3 linked regions of the Arabidopsis thaliana genome follow. The protein of the gene in region 2 interacts with the protein of the main gene of each other region in a biochemical or structural test. Each region holds a gene or a part of one and is shown on either strand. Other genes may lie near its edges. The genes, in order: EIN2, CTR1 and PP2A-1.

Region 1 (7,898 bases), 190 kb from region 2:
CCTATCCAATGTACATGTATATATACTTTCACAAGAGAATATGGATAATGTTGAGTATGTTAAATATATAGTGACAAGTTACATAAAAAAAGCCTAAAGAAATCAAATTGGAAAAAATAGTAAGGTACAATGTATGGTTATCGAAAGCCCAAGCTGTACTTCCATTGATGTAGGAGATGATTAGGAACACGTGGATTATATTTGACCAAAAATAGTAGAAATTCTATTTATATTTGTTTTCTTCTTTTGGTTTTGGGTTTGATTTTGTGATTTGGATAGTTCGGTTAAGGATGGTTTGATCAATCAATATAACCATACTAAAATATGATTCAGTTAACTAACTATAGTAACTGTTTCTTCGTTAGTAAAATGATACATTTATTGGAATCTATTGACAAATCTTAATGACTTATTATAACTGGTGATAACAAAATCTAGCTATTATTTTGTATCCAACTACATATTTTGTATAAAATGGAAATTCGTATATGATATTTGTTTAGTTTAAAAGTAGAGTGTATTTGTTTTTTCAATGATGATTTAATGAAATCAAGCTCTTAGTTGAGATCAAAAGACAAATAAAACAAAATGTTTTTTTTTGTTTTGTTTCTTTTCTATTTGAGGGAAGGCCATGAATTCTTATTTTTGACAAATAGTTGTTCTATGCAATTAATATTGATGTCTAATACATATACAGCAGAATAAATAAAAACTTGCTATATAAAGACGTATTATTTATAGCATTCTGTGGAGTATAATGTCGAATCCTGTTCTCATTTCCGATTTTACATATTTATGGTACTAACGCCTTCATTTATTTTTCCATTTTCGTTAGTCAACAACTTCAGCTTTTGATAACGCCTAATTGTATCATCAACTTTAGTTAGTTTTCTCAAATAACGTCATTTTCAAATAAAGTTTTTGATTTCTCTTTTATTATATTTATGCAAAAGGAAAATTATAATTTCAGTATTTTGCAGAACGCTGAAATGTATAATAGAACCTATTCATGTATTTTTGTAAAATTTTAAAGATTGTTTTAATACTAAAATAAGTAAATCATTAAAAAAATTCCTAGACATTGGTCTCTAATATAAGATAAATAGATCTAAATTATGTTTGGATTTTAATTCTAATAAAAAGGTAGCCAAAAGTTATATATACAATATTTAAACAATTTTATTTGTTTAAGATTTGAATTTTATAGTATGCGAGAATCGCGTAAACTTTTCTCGAATGTAACAAAAAATTTCAAATCTTCTCGACACATGTAATCTTTTGCGAGTTAGAAGATTTGATTCCTTATTTTTTGTTCGTATTCTTAAAGTTAGTCACGTTTATATTATTTTTCGCTTTGTAACCGTCCCTTTAAATTTTTAATAAAAATTAAAAAAATTGCTAGAAAACAACATTTTTGTATTACTCAAATCAAAAGTACAAAAATAAATTTAGCTAGCGTTTCACAAAATCAAGTAAAATAATCTCCATTTGAAACTCCATAATCAAGCTGTTTGATGTATTATTATTACATGTAATGAGGAGAAAGAGGGGTCGAGAAATTTAAAGTAATAATAATTCTCTTCTTCGTCCATGGAATAAACTACGATTAGTTTAAAAAGATTAATAAAGATGGATTAAAGAAACTATATGTTAAACCTGGAAAATTTATTTAAAAAGACGTTTTTTTAGCTATAAGAAAAAAAAGAATAATACCTTTATTTTTACATGTTATTTACAAGTAATAATTTTTTTTTTCTCTCTCTCTCTTTGAAGGTGGCACGAGCACCCATAACCTTCAGACCTATAGATACAAATATGTATGTATACGTTTTTTATATATAAATATTTTATATAATTGATTTTTCGATCTTCTTTTATCTCTCTCTTTCGATGGAACTGAGCTCTTTCTCTCTTTCCTCTTCTTTTCTCTCTCTATCTCTATCTCTCGTAGCTTGATAAGAGTTTCTCTCTTTTGAAGATCCGTTTCTCTCTCTCTCACTGAGACTATTGTTGTTAGGTCAACTTGCGATCATGGCGATTTCGAAGGTGACTTCTTTCAAAAACCCTAATCCTCTGTTTTTTTTTTTATTTTGCTGGGGGGCTTTGTACGGACTTTCATGGGTTTTTGTAGCTTTTCCCTCGGCTTTTGCGCAAATGAGACTTTCTGGGTTTTTTTTCCAGCTTTTTATAATTTCATCAGGTGGATCGAATTCGTAGTTTCAGCTTAGATCTCTCTCCCTCTTCATTATCTGGACTTTCCAGACTTGGAGTTCTTCGGGATTGTTTTCGGTTTCTGGGTTTTGTTTTAATTGCGAGATTTAAGCTTTTTTCTTTTTTACTACTGTACTTGGTTTGTGGTTGACCTTTTTTTTCCTTGAAGATCTGAATGCGTAGATCATACGGGATCTTTGCATTTTTGTTGCTTTTCGTCAGCGTTACGATTCTTTTAGCTTCAGTTTAGTTGAAATTTGTATTTTTTTTGAGCTTATCTTCTTTTTGTTGCTGCTTCATACTAAGATCAATTATTGATTTGTAATACTACTGTATCTGAAGATTTTCACCATAAAAAAAAAATTCAGGTCTGAAGCTGATTTCGAATGGTTTGGAGATATCCGTAGTGGTTAAGCATATGGAAGTCTATGTTCTGCTCTTGGTTGCTCTGTTAGGGCTTCCTCCATTTGGACCAACTTAGCTGAATGTTGTATGATCTCTCTCCTTGAAGCAGCAAATAAGAAGAAGGTCTGGTCCTTAACTTAACATCTGGTTACTAGAGGAAACTTCAGCTATTATTAGGTAAAGAAAGACTGTACAGAGTTGTATAACAAGTAAGCGTTAGAGTGGCTTTGTTTGCCTCGGTGATAGAAGAACCGACTGATTCGTTGTTGTGTGTTAGCTTTGGAGGGAATCAGATTTCGCGAGGGAAGGTGTTTTAGATCAAATCTGTGAATTTTACTCAACTGAGGCTTTTAGTGAACCACGACTGTAGAGTTGACCTTGAATCCTACTCTGAGTAATTATATTATCAGATAGATTTAGGATGGAAGCTGAAATTGTGAATGTGAGACCTCAGCTAGGGTTTATCCAGAGAATGGTTCCTGCTCTACTTCCTGTCCTTTTGGTTTCTGTCGGATATATTGATCCCGGGAAATGGGTTGCAAATATCGAAGGAGGTGCTCGTTTCGGGTATGACTTGGTGGCAATTACTCTGCTTTTCAATTTTGCCGCCATCTTATGCCAATATGTTGCAGCTCGCATAAGCGTTGTGACTGGTAAACACTTGGCTCAGGTAAACATTTTTCTGATCTCTAAAGAACAAACTTTTTAAAATAACAAACTGGGCTCTGTGGTTGTCTTGTCACTTTCTCAAAGTGGAATTCTACTAACCACCTTCTCTATTTTTCTAACATTTTAATGTTCTTTACTGGGACAGATCTGCAATGAAGAATATGACAAGTGGACGTGCATGTTCTTGGGCATTCAGGCGGAGTTCTCAGCAATTCTGCTCGACCTTACCATGGTAGTTACTTACAATCTTTGCTGTTCTTAATTTTTTTATTATGTGATAAAATTTTGATTCCTCTGACTTGAGCTTCTCTATTATAAACAGGTTGTGGGAGTTGCGCATGCACTTAACCTTTTGTTTGGGGTGGAGTTATCCACTGGAGTGTTTTTGGCCGCCATGGATGCGTTTTTATTTCCTGTTTTCGCCTCTTTCCTTGTATGACTGGTCTTCCTGTCTTGTTTTTTTTCTCCACGTTCTTGAAATAGCATTATTGGAAATTAGCTGACATGCATACAATTTCTGACAGGAAAATGGTATGGCAAATACAGTATCCATTTACTCTGCAGGCCTGGTATTACTTCTCTATGTATCTGGCGTCTTGCTGAGTCAGTCTGAGATCCCACTCTCTATGAATGGAGTGTTAACTCGGTTAAATGGAGAGAGCGCATTCGCACTGATGGGTCTTCTTGGCGCAAGCATCGTCCCTCACAATTTTTATATCCATTCTTATTTTGCTGGGGTACCTTTTTTCTCTTTATATGTATCTCTCTTTTCTGTTAAGAAGCAATAATTATACTAAGCAGTGAACGCTCTATTACAGGAAAGTACATCTTCGTCTGATGTCGACAAGAGCAGCTTGTGTCAAGACCATTTGTTCGCCATCTTTGGTGTCTTCAGCGGACTGTCACTTGTAAATTATGTATTGATGAATGCAGCAGCTAATGTGTTTCACAGTACTGGCCTTGTGGTACTGACTTTTCACGATGCCTTGTCACTAATGGAGCAGGTTTGTTCTGACGGTTTTATGTTCGTATTAGTCTATAATTCATTTTTAGGGAAAATGTTCAGAAATCTCTCGTGATTATTAATTATCTTGTTCTTGATTGTTGATCACAGGTATTTATGAGTCCGCTCATTCCAGTGGTCTTTTTGATGCTCTTGTTCTTCTCTAGTCAAATTACCGCACTAGCTTGGGCTTTCGGTGGAGAGGTCGTCCTGCATGACTTCCTGAAGATAGAAATACCCGCTTGGCTTCATCGTGCTACAATCAGAATTCTTGCAGTTGCTCCTGCGCTTTATTGTGTATGGACATCTGGTGCAGACGGAATATACCAGTTACTTATATTCACCCAGGTCTTGGTGGCAATGATGCTTCCTTGCTCGGTAATACCGCTTTTCCGCATTGCTTCGTCGAGACAAATCATGGGTGTCCATAAAATCCCTCAGGTTGGCGAGTTCCTCGCACTTACAACGTTTTTGGGATTTCTGGGGTTGAATGTTGTTTTTGTTGTTGAGATGGTATTTGGGAGCAGTGACTGGGCTGGTGGTTTGAGATGGAATACCGTGATGGGCACCTCGATTCAGTACACCACTCTGCTTGTATCGTCATGTGCATCCTTATGCCTGATACTCTGGCTGGCAGCCACGCCGCTGAAATCTGCGAGTAACAGAGCGGAAGCTCAAATATGGAACATGGATGCTCAAAATGCTTTATCTTATCCATCTGTTCAAGAAGAGGAAATTGAAAGAACAGAAACAAGGAGGAACGAAGACGAATCAATAGTGCGGTTGGAAAGCAGGGTAAAGGATCAGTTGGATACTACGTCTGTTACTAGCTCGGTCTATGATTTGCCAGAGAACATTCTAATGACGGATCAAGAAATCCGTTCGAGCCCTCCAGAGGAAAGAGAGTTGGATGTAAAGTACTCTACCTCTCAAGTTAGTAGTCTTAAGGAAGACTCTGATGTAAAGGAACAGTCTGTATTGCAGTCAACAGTGGTTAATGAGGTCAGTGATAAGGATCTGATTGTTGAAACAAAGATGGCGAAAATTGAACCAATGAGTCCTGTGGAGAAGATTGTTAGCATGGAGAATAACAGCAAGTTTATTGAAAAGGATGTTGAAGGGGTTTCATGGGAAACAGAAGAAGCTACCAAAGCTGCTCCTACAAGCAACTTTACTGTCGGATCTGATGGTCCTCCTTCATTCCGCAGCTTAAGTGGGGAAGGGGGAAGTGGGACTGGAAGCCTTTCACGGTTGCAAGGTTTGGGACGTGCTGCCCGGAGACACTTATCTGCGATCCTTGATGAATTTTGGGGACATTTATATGATTTTCATGGGCAATTGGTTGCTGAAGCCAGGGCAAAGAAACTAGATCAGCTGTTTGGCACTGATCAAAAGTCAGCCTCTTCTATGAAAGCAGATTCGTTTGGAAAAGACATTAGCAGTGGATATTGCATGTCACCAACTGCGAAGGGAATGGATTCACAGATGACTTCAAGTTTATATGATTCACTGAAGCAGCAGAGGACACCGGGAAGTATCGATTCGTTGTATGGATTACAAAGAGGTTCGTCACCGTCACCGTTGGTCAACCGTATGCAGATGTTGGGTGCATATGGTAACACCACTAATAATAATAATGCTTACGAATTGAGTGAGAGAAGATACTCTAGCCTGCGTGCTCCATCATCTTCAGAGGGTTGGGAACACCAACAACCAGCTACAGTTCACGGATACCAGATGAAGTCATATGTAGACAATTTGGCAAAAGAAAGGCTTGAAGCCTTACAATCCCGTGGAGAGATCCCGACATCGAGATCTATGGCGCTTGGTACATTGAGCTATACACAGCAACTTGCTTTAGCCTTGAAACAGAAGTCCCAGAATGGTCTAACCCCTGGACCAGCTCCTGGGTTTGAGAATTTTGCTGGGTCTAGAAGCATATCGCGACAATCTGAAAGATCTTATTACGGTGTTCCATCTTCTGGCAATACTGATACTGTTGGCGCAGCAGTAGCCAATGAGAAAAAATATAGTAGCATGCCAGATATCTCAGGATTGTCTATGTCCGCAAGGAACATGCATTTACCAAACAACAAGAGTGGATACTGGGATCCGTCAAGTGGAGGAGGAGGGTATGGTGCGTCTTATGGTCGGTTAAGCAATGAATCATCGTTATATTCTAATTTGGGGTCACGGGTGGGAGTACCCTCGACTTATGATGACATTTCTCAATCAAGAGGAGGCTACAGAGATGCCTACAGTTTGCCACAGAGTGCAACAACAGGGACCGGATCGCTTTGGTCCAGACAGCCCTTTGAGCAGTTTGGTGTAGCGGAGAGGAATGGTGCTGTTGGTGAGGAGCTCAGGAATAGATCGAATCCGATCAATATAGACAACAACGCTTCTTCTAATGTTGATGCAGAGGCTAAGCTTCTTCAGTCGTTCAGGCACTGTATTCTAAAGCTTATTAAACTTGAAGGATCCGAGTGGTTGTTTGGACAAAGCGATGGAGTTGATGAAGAACTGATTGACCGGGTAGCTGCACGAGAGAAGTTTATCTATGAAGCTGAAGCTCGAGAAATAAACCAGGTGGGTCACATGGGGGAGCCACTAATTTCATCGGTTCCTAACTGTGGAGATGGTTGCGTTTGGAGAGCTGATTTGATTGTGAGCTTTGGAGTTTGGTGCATTCACCGTGTCCTTGACTTGTCTCTCATGGAGAGTCGGCCTGAGCTTTGGGGAAAGTACACTTACGTTCTCAACCGCCTACAGGTAACAAAAACCGCAGTAGTTCATTGAAAATCACAGTTTTGCAGTTTGAAAATATTGACATGTATGGATTTAAACAGGGAGTGATTGATCCGGCGTTCTCAAAGCTGCGGACACCAATGACACCGTGCTTTTGCCTTCAGATTCCAGCGAGCCACCAGAGAGCGAGTCCGACTTCAGCTAACGGAATGTTACCTCCGGCTGCAAAACCGGCTAAAGGCAAATGCACAACCGCAGTCACACTTCTTGATCTAATCAAAGACGTTGAAATGGCAATCTCTTGTAGAAAAGGCCGAACCGGTACAGCTGCAGGTGATGTGGCTTTCCCAAAGGGGAAAGAGAATTTGGCTTCGGTTTTGAAGCGGTATAAACGTCGGTTATCGAATAAACCAGTAGGTATGAATCAGGATGGACCCGGTTCAAGAAAAAACGTGACTGCGTACGGATCATTGGGTTGAAGAAGAAGAACATTGTGAGAAATCTCATGATCAAAGTGACGTCGAGAGGGAAGCCGAAGAATCAAAACTCTCGCTTTTGATTGCTCCTCTGCTTCGTTAATTGTGTATTAAGAAAAGAAGAAAAAAAATGGATTTTTGTTGCTTCAGAATTTTTCGCTCTTTTTTTCTTAATTTGGTTGTAATGTTATGTTTATATACATATATCATCATCATAGGACCATAGCTACAAACCGAATCCGGTTTGTGTAATTCTATGCGGAATCATAAAGAAATCGTCGGTTTGAAATGTTAAATCTCCTAAACCGGATCTCTGCACGTAGCTGACACATCGACGCTAGATTACTGACACGTGTCCTTATCAATATTTCTTCTCGAAACGTCTT
Region 2 (7,641 bases):
ATATTAAACACAATTCATTTTAGTTAGATCTATTCGGGGCCTCTCGTGTTTAGATTTAGAAGAGTTCTCGGCATGAATCATGAACATTTTCCAATGCTCTTAAATTTATAGTTTACCAATATTATACTCCGGTTTTACATATCACACATAATTTCGATTTTTTTCAACATATGTGATCATAATCAATTGTTAAGTTTTAATTTATGCGCATAAAAAAATATATGTTTGTATAGTAGTTAAGGAGAATTTTTTTTTGTTATGTTTTAGCACTTTTTGGATTAATACTAGTTTTAAAAGTATGATTTTTTTTTTATTTTTTTTTGTGCACAAATATGATCAAACCCAAAAGTTTCTTTACATAGTAGCAACTTTATATTCTCAGCAGCCATGGCTAAAAAACGTAAGTTAATGACAAAAATGCGTTGAGTGCAATGAACCTGGCAGTATTCGATGAACCTTAGCGGATCAAATGATATAAATATGCAATAGAATTTAAATATTTATTTATTGTCCAAGCTGCGTGGATAGCTTGATAGATAAATTAATGACAGCACATTGACTACCCAAGCTGCGTTGATAAGTACTTGATCAAAATCTTTACATTTTTATGAAGTACTATAATCCAAAGTTAACTTTTAAGCAAAAGATAATTTTTTGTAATGGTTGTGAAAAATTCACTTATAATAACACGAAACATAATGAAGTATTATTAGTTCATTTATATATAATACACAAAAAACATAAAGGCAATAAAAATAACCAAATTAAAAAAAAATGGAGAAGTAGAAAAGAAAACGAAAAAAAAAAAAAAAGAGAGAGATAAGATGCATGCATGGTATAGAAGTCGCAGGCCGAAGACCAGAAATACGAATGTGTTTGAATAGACAAATTAAGGAATATAAAGACAGAAGAGCCCATCCATTTTCGCATACACGAATACATCCCCCTCGACTCCAATTATTTTATTATAGTCCATTCTCTCACTTTCTATTCTAAATATTGTGGACGTTATAAAGGCTTTTTATTTATTTTATGTCGAGTTTTTTAGACTACGTAGAGCCGAATGAAAATTTCATGTTTAGGTATACGAAACTTGGATCCAATGTTACGGATTCAGATTGGTGTAAAAGATCAAATTTGATAGTATTTGGATTTGATAGGCAAGATGGTTTAGTATTTTACACTGTGTATGTTCCTCTTTTAGCTTTGCGTTTTCTACTTTCACTACGATACTACTTTTTATCTTCCAATTTCAGTTGCTTATCACCAAAATATGAAATACCAAATTAATTGTTTAAACAGTTTTATTAGCGATTAAATTAGCACAAAACATATGAATAGATATCATAGTCGAATACAAAAATTAGACAAATAATAATACACTAAAAAACAAACTAAATTGGAGAATTGTTTTGACAAAAAATAAAAAAAATGTCAAAGTTCCATAAAAAGGAGGACAAAAGAGGAATATAACGAAATTATCAACAGAAACGCACCGAGTAAGTTTATTTCCTATGATAACGCAAAAACAAAAAAAAAATCCAATTCCATTAGAGAGAGAGAGAGAGAGAGAGAGAGAGAGAGACTTTTTTAAAAAGTACAAAAAAAAAATGAAAAACTAGAGAGAGAAACAAGTGGCTAGCTAGCTCGCCAAACTTCTTCAACAATGGCGGTTTCCTAGGGTTTGATGTTTATATGATCGGGAAACTCTCTCATCTAGATCGCGATAACTCTCTTTTCCATGGAAATGCCCGGTAGAAGATCTAATTACACTTTGCTTAGTCAATTTTCTGACGATCAGGTGTCAGTTTCCGTCACCGGAGCTCCTCCGCCTCACTATGATTCCTTGTCGAGCGAAAACAGGAGCAACCATAACAGCGGGAACACCGGGAAAGCTAAGGCGGAGAGAGGCGGATTTGATTGGGATCCTAGCGGTGGTGGTGGTGGTGATCATAGGTTGAATAATCAACCGAATCGGGTTGGGAATAATATGTATGCTTCGTCTCTAGGGTTGCAAAGGCAATCCAGTGGGAGTAGTTTCGGTGAGAGCTCTTTGTCTGGGGATTATTACATGCCTACGCTTTCTGCGGCGGCTAACGAGATCGAATCTGTTGGATTTCCTCAAGATGATGGGTTTAGGCTTGGATTTGGTGGTGGTGGAGGAGATTTGAGGATACAGATGGCGGCGGACTCCGCTGGAGGGTCTTCATCTGGGAAGAGCTGGGCGCAGCAGACGGAGGAGAGTTATCAGCTGCAGCTTGCATTGGCGTTAAGGCTTTCGTCGGAGGCTACTTGTGCCGACGATCCGAACTTTCTGGATCCTGTACCGGACGAGTCTGCTTTACGGACTTCGCCAAGTTCAGCCGAAACCGTTTCACATCGTTTCTGGGTATTTGTTCCTGTTAAGCTTTGTTTCCCAAAATTATTGAATCGTGGTTATAGAGATATGGTCCTCTTGTTTCCGAAGTTTCAGTTAGATCTCCTTACCAAAAGTCTATTAGTAGCAAATGAGATATGTTGTTTAGATACATTGCAGAGTATGATTGTTTTGTGTGCTGCATCAGGTTAATGGCTGCTTATCGTACTATGATAAAGTTCCTGATGGGTTTTATATGATGAATGGTCTGGATCCCTATATTTGGACCTTATGCATCGACCTGCATGAAAGTGGTCGCATCCCTTCAATTGAATCATTAAGAGCTGTTGATTCTGGTGTTGATTCTTCGCTTGAAGCGATCATAGTTGATAGGCGTAGTGATCCAGCCTTCAAGGAACTTCACAATAGAGTCCACGACATATCTTGTAGCTGCATTACCACAAAAGAGGTTGTTGATCAGCTGGCAAAGCTTATCTGCAATCGTATGGGGTTTGTACTCATACAATCCTTACTATCCCTTTGAACTTATATTTTTATATCTTCCTGTGATTTCTCACATTGTACTCGTTAATTCTTGCTTCCCCAGGGGTCCAGTTATCATGGGGGAAGATGAGTTGGTTCCCATGTGGAAGGAGTGCATTGATGGTCTAAAAGAAATCTTTAAAGTGGTGGTTCCCATAGGTAGCCTCTCTGTTGGACTCTGCAGACATCGAGCTTTACTCTTCAAAGTGAGATCCCAACTTTGATGCTATCCCCATGACATTTAAGACATCTTGTGAAATGATCATATAAATTATTGTGCTTCATCCATTTGTTTTTATTGGAATACATATGAAGAACGTTGAATGTGAAAAGTGGTGTTATTGATTAGAAAAAAATAGGTTACTGATAGTTGAATGTTCCAAAGAAAAAAAGTATTTTATATCTTCTATTTGGTGCATGCAGGTACTGGCTGACATAATTGATTTACCCTGTCGAATTGCCAAAGGATGTAAATATTGTAATAGAGACGATGCCGCTTCGTGCCTTGTCAGGTTTGGGCTTGATAGGTATGATACAAGTGATTGCGAAAGAGCCTTTATTTTCCTATTTTCTTTGCTTTTTGTTTCTGGAAAAACAATTATAGCTCCAAATGTTTCGCAGAATATTAGGTTGATGACGTGGAAAATTTGTTTTGGTTTCAGGGAGTACCTGGTTGATTTAGTAGGAAAGCCAGGTCACTTATGGGAGCCTGATTCCTTGCTAAATGGTCCTTCATCTATCTCAATTTCTTCTCCTCTGCGGTTTCCACGACCAAAGCCAGTTGAACCCGCAGTCGATTTTAGGTTACTAGCCAAACAATATTTCTCCGATAGCCAGTCTCTTAATCTTGTTTTCGATCCTGCATCAGGTATTCCCATACAAAAAACCTGAATAATATGTTAACTTTTTGCATGCTGCTTACATCTCGTTTTGTATTTCCCCTAAAAGAGTAATCTCCTATCATTTAGGGTATTTCTTGATCATGTCTCAGTATCTGAAGTGTTAGTAGTCTTAGAATGATTCTATTGTTTGTTTTCTTGTCTCTTTTCACTTTAGTTGTTTTTGGCTGTTGATGTGTATGTTTGTTGGTGGGTTCTTTGCCTAATGATATTTAAGGTTAAACTTGTTAGTCTGCTGTTCAAGCTTATGAATTCTAGTGCATTTATGTGCAAGACTTGTCTTCTGGACTCTAATTTCTTATATCTGCTTGTTTGAATGGTTGTAGATGATATGGGATTCTCAATGTTTCATAGGCAATATGATAATCCGGGTGGAGAGAATGACGCATTGGCAGAAAATGGTGGTGGGTCTTTGCCACCCAGTGCTAATATGCCTCCACAGAACATGATGCGTGCGTCAAATCAAATTGAAGCAGCACCTATGAATGCCCCACCAATCAGTCAGCCAGTTCCAAACAGGGCAAATAGGGAACTTGGACTTGATGGTGATGATATGGACATCCCGTGGTGTGATCTTAATATAAAAGAAAAGATTGGAGCAGGTAATAATTTTACGGAAAAATTAATGATTCGGTCTAAAAATGCAAAGAAATATGAAATTCTTGAGGAAGTGGTTTTGCTTTGGACTCTGTTCTCGAACAAAATAAGGAAAAAGTGCCACCCATTTTGAGATTACATTCTTCTCTGTTGCCTTTAATTCTTCCACTCTAATTTGAGCGACTGCTCTTTCAGGTTCCTTTGGCACTGTCCACCGTGCTGAGTGGCATGGCTCGGTAAGAACTTTTTTGTCAGAATTTACGCAGCTGAATTTTTTTTCGCTCTAAAAATTTGGTTGTGACTTTTGGATCTGCTTGGTATTATAAAAGGCAAAGTTATTGTATATGTGACTCTCCGTTCTGTCAGAAATTAAACACGGACAAAAGGTGTCCCATTTTAGATGTATATGTGTCTTTATATCATAAATTTGTCTTCCTGTTTGAATTTTACAATTCTATCACTAGAAGAATTCTAATTTTGATTATTGCAGTAATATTCTCTATCAATTTCAGGATGTTGCTGTGAAAATTCTCATGGAGCAAGACTTCCATGCTGAGCGTGTTAATGAGTTCTTAAGAGAGGTGCACAAATAAAATTTTCTCTTGATTTTGGTAATGAACTTGTTGTATTAATGTCTCCAATGATCTTGATTCGCTGTCAGGTTGCGATAATGAAACGCCTTCGCCACCCTAACATTGTTCTCTTCATGGGTGCGGTCACTCAACCTCCAAATTTGTCAATAGTGACAGAATATTTGTCAAGGTACAATTACTTGGATTTGGAAGGTTTGATGTACTGAGTGTAGAATTTTGGCCTATAATGACTCTAATACCATGATTTCTTTCAAACAGAGGTAGTTTATACAGACTTTTGCATAAAAGTGGAGCAAGGGAGCAATTAGATGAGAGACGTCGCCTGAGTATGGCTTATGATGTGGTATGTTTAATTCCTTATGTTACATGTATGGGTGATTACTTCCTGATCTTGGTGTTTCTTCACATGGAACTTTCTTTCCAATTCTCTGTCACAGGCTAAGGGAATGAATTATCTTCACAATCGCAATCCTCCAATTGTGCATAGAGATCTAAAATCTCCAAACTTATTGGTTGACAAAAAATATACAGTCAAGGTTTGAATCTAAATTAGAAATTGTTGTGTCCAATGTTTTGATTTTGATATTTTATTCCTCTTGTGAGACAAGCTTATATATAAATTATGATTTTTAATTCTAAATTGGTTTGGAGACATTACAAAAAGGCGTTAATCTGCTGAAACTTAAAAGATACAGCAGCCTCAAGCTGTCGTCTTAAAAACAATCAGAACATTATTATTCTAACTCCTCAATTTGTCTTGAAATTTCAGGTTTGTGATTTTGGTCTCTCGCGATTGAAGGCCAGCACGTTTCTTTCCTCGAAGTCAGCAGCTGGAACCGTAAGTTCAGTTTGTTTGAAACTAAAACACGCTGAACAACGTAACTTTCTTCTAGGTCCTATTTCCAATGGAAGCTAAATAATTACTGACTTTGATATATCAGCCCGAGTGGATGGCACCAGAAGTCCTGCGAGATGAGCCGTCTAATGAAAAGTCAGATGTGTACAGCTTCGGGGTCATCTTGTGGGAGCTTGCTACATTGCAACAACCATGGGGTAACTTAAATCCGGCTCAGGTACTTTCCACTCTAAACATCTCAAATAATAATGATATTATTTTGCATTTGGAAGTCCCTCACTCTACATTTCATAACATGCTATATATGATCATACAAAAAAATGTTCCATAGGTTGTAGCTGCGGTTGGTTTCAAGTGTAAACGGCTGGAGATCCCGCGTAATCTGAATCCTCAGGTTGCAGCCATAATCGAGGGTTGTTGGACCAAGTACGTTAAGATTTTCTATCTCTTTTTTGAATTCTTCTTGAATAGACTTCATGTTTATGTATGTGTTTCATTACCAGTGAGCCATGGAAGCGTCCATCATTTGCAACTATAATGGACTTGCTAAGACCATTGATCAAATCAGCGGTTCCTCCGCCCAACCGCTCGGATTTGTAAAATACCCCCGGTCCATTCAAAAGTTGTTATAATCATGATATGCACATATACTCTCAGCATTCTTTTGCTGCCCAGGAGGGAGACACTAGTTAAGATATAGCTTTAAAGGTACATTCCTCATGAGCTATCAATCATATCCTACAGAATCCCATGGTTTTTATACATGTATTATTTTTGCGATCTTTGTCTGCTGTTTTGTTCCCTTTTTAATGTTGCAGATTGTTAAAATGTACATGACTATTGTCACAGGGAGGAAAAAAAAATGTAGTAATGGAAACAATGTGAGGGATATAATCTATCTATCTAGTCCCAAAGGGTAAGCAATATTTTGTTGTTATGTCTTTGTAGCAATGCACTGAAAGCTATATTTAATTACATTGCTGTACATTTATACCGCTAAATTAGTTACTAAGCGAAGGTAAAAAAGAGCAGCTGGTAAATGCTGTCAAAGGGTTTTGCAAACTCAATATGATTCATTGGATTTACATTTGTTCACTGTGCGATTAGTCTGGACTATAAACCAACAGAAATGAAATAAGACTGTAACTTTCGGAGACTCTAATACAGATGAATATAATCCCAAATCGTTAAAAACGCATTGGGACTGAAAATATCTAGATACATAGTCAACTATTTTTGCCTTCGCGTCTAAGTAAGTTCCCACACTTGAAAACGACTTTACCTGTCTTCCGAATTAATCGTTTGATGGATCGGTAACCAATAGGATTGCGTAAATCAAAATTATACAATATTAAATTCTGAAAAAGGAAACACGAAAAGCGAATCAGTGATTTGTGAGGGCCCAGTTCCAAATTAGAAAGCTGACCTGGCAAACGCGCTAAATCACTCCTCCTTTCAAAAATCTCAAGATGACGTGGGACCCACCATCGTCACCACTTTCTCTCCTTCACCAAATCACAGAGAGAGAGAGCTAAGTGAAGCTGCAAGGAAACAACTTTCAATTTCAATGTCGGTTGTACAATTATTTGTCACTAAAGTTTCCAAATTTCTTCTAAACTGATGAATCAATGGAACATGATGACGAAAAAGATAAATCCACGGTGGCGGGAACTGACCCACCCATTTCCACCGCCTCTCTATTCCCCAGATTTTTTTCAATTATCTGACTACAGTTTGTCGGTTACTTCCTTCCCTAAACCTTTATAAACCATTAAACCTCTCATCCTTCTTCTCTTA
Region 3 (4,439 bases), on a different chromosome or scaffold from region 2:
TAAAAATGGACGTCGAGACAAATATAATTTTGTTAGAAAATGCTAGATTAAAAATACCAATCTTAATTTTGTTTGATTTGGAAATCAAAGAAGGTTCAAATCACCATGGCTCATATGAGTATTGGTTTCTATAATCTGTAACAACAACATTGTGGTATTTTCCCACTTTTTGTAACAAAATCACATTGTCCATATACATAGTGTTGAATTATGCAGTTTTTTCACATTTTCTATTTCCGTAAAATCTCTGCGAGTATTTTATAAGAAAACTTATATGTCATTTCTAAATTGAATTTAAATCAATCCAATTCAATATAGTTTAATTTAGTAAACTCTCTGTCAATAATTTTGATAGAATGTTATTAGGTTGTAAATACGAATGTTGAGGTCAATATAATTAGACTACAAAAAGGCTAGTATAATAAGACTTTTATTATTAAGATCAATAAATACTACAAAAGTCATCTTTTAAAATGCGGTAAAAAAAAACTATAACGATCAAATTGCCAATTACTAAAAGAAGTATCAATTCCTACGATGTGTAGCAACAACATTGTGGGTTGTCTTCACCTTTTGTTTGATAATCACAAAATCCATATGCATATTGTTGACTTGTACACTCTTCGTTACATGGTCTATTACCGAAAGCTATCTCACATGGCCCAATGCAATGTGGCTCTTGCTCTTGCTGGATTGCTGCAAATACACAATCCAATAATATACATACATATAAATAGCTATTACCAATTCTATATTTTATGATATAAAAATGTTCAAACATTGCTCTTCAAATGATCAAAGATAATTTAACGATAACAACTAACCTGGTTTGGCCAATGTTGTAGCTAGAAAATGAAATTGTCAATATCCCTACAAAGAAAATAATCACATATGTTTTTCTGATGTCCATTATATATTTTCACTATGAACTCTATTGAGAAAAATAGACTTTTATAGTTTTCTATATCTTTAATAAAGATTCTTTATGAAGATCTCTATTTATAGAAAAATAGATTTTTATAGTTTTCTATATCTGTGATCAGTTCAAATATTCTTTATGAAGATCTCTATTTATAAGATTATTTTTTTTTCGAATAAAAATATCAGTTTTCACACTATATTTCAGTTTTTTCACAACCATAAATGAATATTCTATATTTTTAATATGAGGTTGGCTAAAATTTATTAATTATCGTTCTTAATTATAAATTTCACTAAAAATAAATTTAATTGTATTAAACTGAACAGATGATTAATCTAAGCATGTTTTACACAAATATAATAATAACCAATTTTAATATATTTTTGATTTAAACAATTACACAAACTGATTTTGCCATAGCTTTTGCCGATGAACTGGCGAGATCATTGTGTCAATAAAAACTACGTAAAATCCCAGTGTACCGTGATCATTCAAATCCATGAAAATATTCGTCTAACTAAATGGAAAATCTCAGATGAGTTGATATCGATACCAAAGGAAATTGAGCTTAATACTATGGACAATATAATACACATGAAATTGTTACTATAATCATTGCTTGGTTAATTCGAAGAAGAACTCAAAAATAATTTTTCATTATACAATAGTCTTGATTTACATAGAAGTCTCAACTCTTAAGACTTTCAATAGTTAAATAACTGATACACTTTGAAGTTTAGGTGTCCTGTCTGATTAAAAATTTGCCAATGTCATTTCCTTTTGACCAGGCTTGGTTAAGAAACAAACTAAAAAAAATCACTCGTTAACAAAAAAAATTGTGTAAAGAATAATAAATATCCATTTTGTGTGATATGAGAGAAACAAAACCAAAGACGAGCCAGAGCCACCTCTAACACCATCGGCGACTTCTCCTCCTACTCCTCCGTCGCCGACGTGTTCGATTTACAACGATTCGGTGGCTATTGGTTGTAAGATTTAGAATTAAAGGTTAAAGGAGACGACGACGAGAGATGCCGTTAAACGGAGATCTCGACCGTCAGATCGAACAGCTAATGGAGTGTAAGCCGTTAGGTGAAGCAGACGTGAAGATCCTTTGCGATCAAGCTAAAGCGATTCTTGTTGAGGAATATAATGTTCAACCGGTTAAGTGTCCGGTTACGGTATGCGGCGATATCCATGGCCAGTTTTATGACCTAATTGAGCTATTTCGTATTGGTGGTAATGCTCCTGATACTAATTACCTCTTCATGGGAGATTATGTAGGTATGTCTTTCTCTCTTCTCTATCACTCTATTTCAATTTTTTTTGTGTGGGTAAGTTAAATTTCCTGATTTGTTGGGTTTTTAGAGATCTGTGTTCTTATGTTGATTTTCAGAGCATGTTTGATTCAAAGTACGCTGGTTCAGTTTGAAGTTTGGAGCTAATAGTTATTTCTTTGGTTTATTGTTGTCTTGGTTATATCTGTGCAGATCGTGGCTACTATTCTGTAGAAACAGTCTCTCTATTGGTGGCATTAAAGGTGCGTTACAGGGACAGACTTACGATCCTGCGAGGGAATCATGAGAGCCGTCAGATTACACAAGTGTAAGATTTTCTTTCTAAGAAGACTTGTATTTCATTTGCTTCTGACTCGCAAGCACTAACAATGGTTTGTGCCTGTTTTTGCTTATGTTTGTTCAGCTATGGTTTTTATGACGAATGCTTGAGGAAATACGGAAATGCAAATGTGTGGAAGTATTTTACGGACCTTTTCGATTATCTCCCTCTTACAGCACTCATAGAGAGTCAGGTTCGAGCTGTTCTTGCCAGTCGTCATTGTATCATCCGTAGTTGTTTCACTTCCGCACTTTTCTTCATCAACTGTATTCCGTGACAGGTTTTCTGTTTGCATGGAGGCCTTTCACCTTCTCTGGATACTCTTGACAATATCCGAAGCTTGGATCGAATACAAGAGGTATTGTTTTGGGTATAGAAGCATTGTTTTGCATTTAGTATCTGTAAATGTCTCCTCTTTTTCCCTAAAGACATTGTTTCTCTCTGGCTATAAACTCTCTGAAACCAACCTCCTAGTTATTATTAGTTTTGGCTTCAGATAGAACAAGGATTGTAATAATCTGATATGGTATGCTCTGGGATTGTAGGTTCCACACGAAGGACCAATGTGCGATCTACTCTGGTCTGATCCCGACGATCGTTGTGGATGGGGAATATCTCCTCGTGGTGCTGGTTACACGTTTGGACAGGACATTGCTACTCAGTTTAATCATAACAATGGACTGAGTCTGATCTCAAGAGCGCATCAACTTGTAATGGAAGGCTATAATTGGTGTCAGGTATATAATATGTGCATAACAATAGATTGGCATATGTGTTGAATAGGGTTCTGGTTGCAAAAATGCTGAATCTTTCGGTGTGTTGATAGGAAAAGAACGTAGTGACAGTGTTTAGTGCACCGAACTACTGTTACAGATGTGGAAACATGGCCGCAATTCTTGAGATTGGAGAAAAGATGGAACAGAACTTCCTTCAATTCGATCCAGCACCTAGACAAGTCGAACCCGATACCACGCGCAAGACCCCTGATTATTTTTTGTGATTTCATTTTTTTTCTTCCAAAGTTTGTTTGTTGCTGTATCATTGTAGATGTGTCTGTTTTATTTTGTTTTTTCGAGTCTCTAGATGGAATGTGATACCAAAGACGAAAAACCCATCATTTTTTTGTTGATGTTGATACTGAAACAGGTTTGTAGAAGCCTCTTCTTATTATAGAAAATGTCTTTTGATAATAACTTGATGTTTCAATTAAGAATTCACTATTTCTATCACAGTTGGTGTGTAATAGTACCAATAGAGTATTCGTCCTCTCCTAAACCATTTCTTCGTTGTTATAAGGCATCGACTAATAATATAAAATGGGATTGTTATAGTAGTACTCTAAAATGGGGTATACACATTTGACATACAATGTATAAGAAGAATAAGACGCAAAAGATATTTGGAATAAAAAAAAAGAGAAATAATAAACTCAAAGGTGTAATAAAATCAATTTTATGTACATGGGGAACAAGTATTGGGTTCCTAACGCCTTGCCTCTCCACATTAGTCATAAATGGAGCTATGAAAATGGCATTTAAAGCAAAACACAAACATAAAACACCTAAATGAAGCATATTTTCTACATATATTTTAGAACTAAAGGCCCTAACAAAAACCCCCCAAGCCGATGACATTGCCTAAATGTACAAAGACAATTAGCAATAATATGTTATATATTGGATCTTTACTTCTTCGGTACCTTTGGCCGTGATCTCATACTGGCTCTCCTTGCCACATCCCACGCCTTCTGTGGCGCGTATATCCCTAACTGAGACGCAAAGAAAGATTCATAACCTGGTGAATCAAACGCAAACCCAGTGTGCTTTGAGAGCTCCCGAGGCAATTGTGATATCGCATAGCTTCTCGCCTCTTGAGGTGTGAGCTCATTCTCTACCTCCAG

What was found.
Region 1: of the proteins of CTR1 (region 2) and EIN2, one has a biochemical effect on the other in vitro, tested with the Arabidopsis thaliana proteins (one study listed by BioGRID).
Region 3: the proteins of CTR1 (region 2) and PP2A-1 form a complex in vitro, tested with the Arabidopsis thaliana proteins (one study listed by BioGRID).

Annotation. Positions count from the first base shown.
Region 1 is NC_003076.8:785,552-793,449, forward strand, and holds EIN2 (NRAMP metal ion transporter family protein), read left to right. Parts: upstream 1-1,876; 5' UTR 1,877-2,046; intron 2,047-2,579; 5' UTR 2,580-3,037; coding exon 3,038-3,286; intron 3,287-3,430; coding exon 3,431-3,517; intron 3,518-3,607; coding exon 3,608-3,718; intron 3,719-3,809; coding exon 3,810-4,022; intron 4,023-4,103; coding exon 4,104-4,289; intron 4,290-4,399; coding exon 4,400-7,060; intron 7,061-7,137; coding exon 7,138-7,515; 3' UTR 7,516-7,853; downstream 7,854-7,898. UniProt on the Arabidopsis thaliana protein: Central factor in signaling pathways regulated by ethylene (ET) and involved in various processes including development, plant defense, senescence, nucleotide sugar flux, and tropisms.
Region 2 is NC_003076.8:973,761-981,401, reverse strand, and holds CTR1 (Protein kinase superfamily protein), read left to right. Parts: upstream 1-1,552; 5' UTR 1,553-1,741; coding exon 1,742-2,389; intron 2,390-2,564; coding exon 2,565-2,866; intron 2,867-2,963; coding exon 2,964-3,105; intron 3,106-3,322; coding exon 3,323-3,426; intron 3,427-3,561; coding exon 3,562-3,767; intron 3,768-4,124; coding exon 4,125-4,400; intron 4,401-4,590; coding exon 4,591-4,631; intron 4,632-4,907; coding exon 4,908-4,976; intron 4,977-5,056; coding exon 5,057-5,157; intron 5,158-5,246; coding exon 5,247-5,331; intron 5,332-5,425; coding exon 5,426-5,524; intron 5,525-5,757; coding exon 5,758-5,826; intron 5,827-5,929; coding exon 5,930-6,061; intron 6,062-6,175; coding exon 6,176-6,270; intron 6,271-6,347; coding exon 6,348-6,444; 3' UTR 6,445-6,552; exon of another isoform or gene 6,553-6,693; 3' UTR 6,694-7,042; downstream 7,043-7,641. UniProt on the Arabidopsis thaliana protein: Acts as a negative regulator in the ethylene response pathway. Phosphorylates the cytosolic C-terminal domain of EIN2, preventing the signaling in the absence of ethylene.
Region 3 is NC_003070.9:22,019,808-22,024,246, reverse strand, and holds PP2A-1 (protein phosphatase 2A-2), read left to right. Parts: upstream 1-1,743; 5' UTR 1,744-1,953; coding exon 1,954-2,206; intron 2,207-2,412; coding exon 2,413-2,527; intron 2,528-2,623; coding exon 2,624-2,732; intron 2,733-2,819; coding exon 2,820-2,897; intron 2,898-3,084; coding exon 3,085-3,276; coding exon of another isoform or gene 3,277-3,318; exon of another isoform or gene 3,319-3,365; coding exon 3,366-3,539; 3' UTR 3,540-3,870; downstream 3,871-4,439. Other genes in the region: AT1G59833 (Defensin-like (DEFL) family protein), read right to left, coding at 533-688, 812-910; ALA3 (aminophospholipid ATPase 3), read right to left, coding at 4,224-4,439.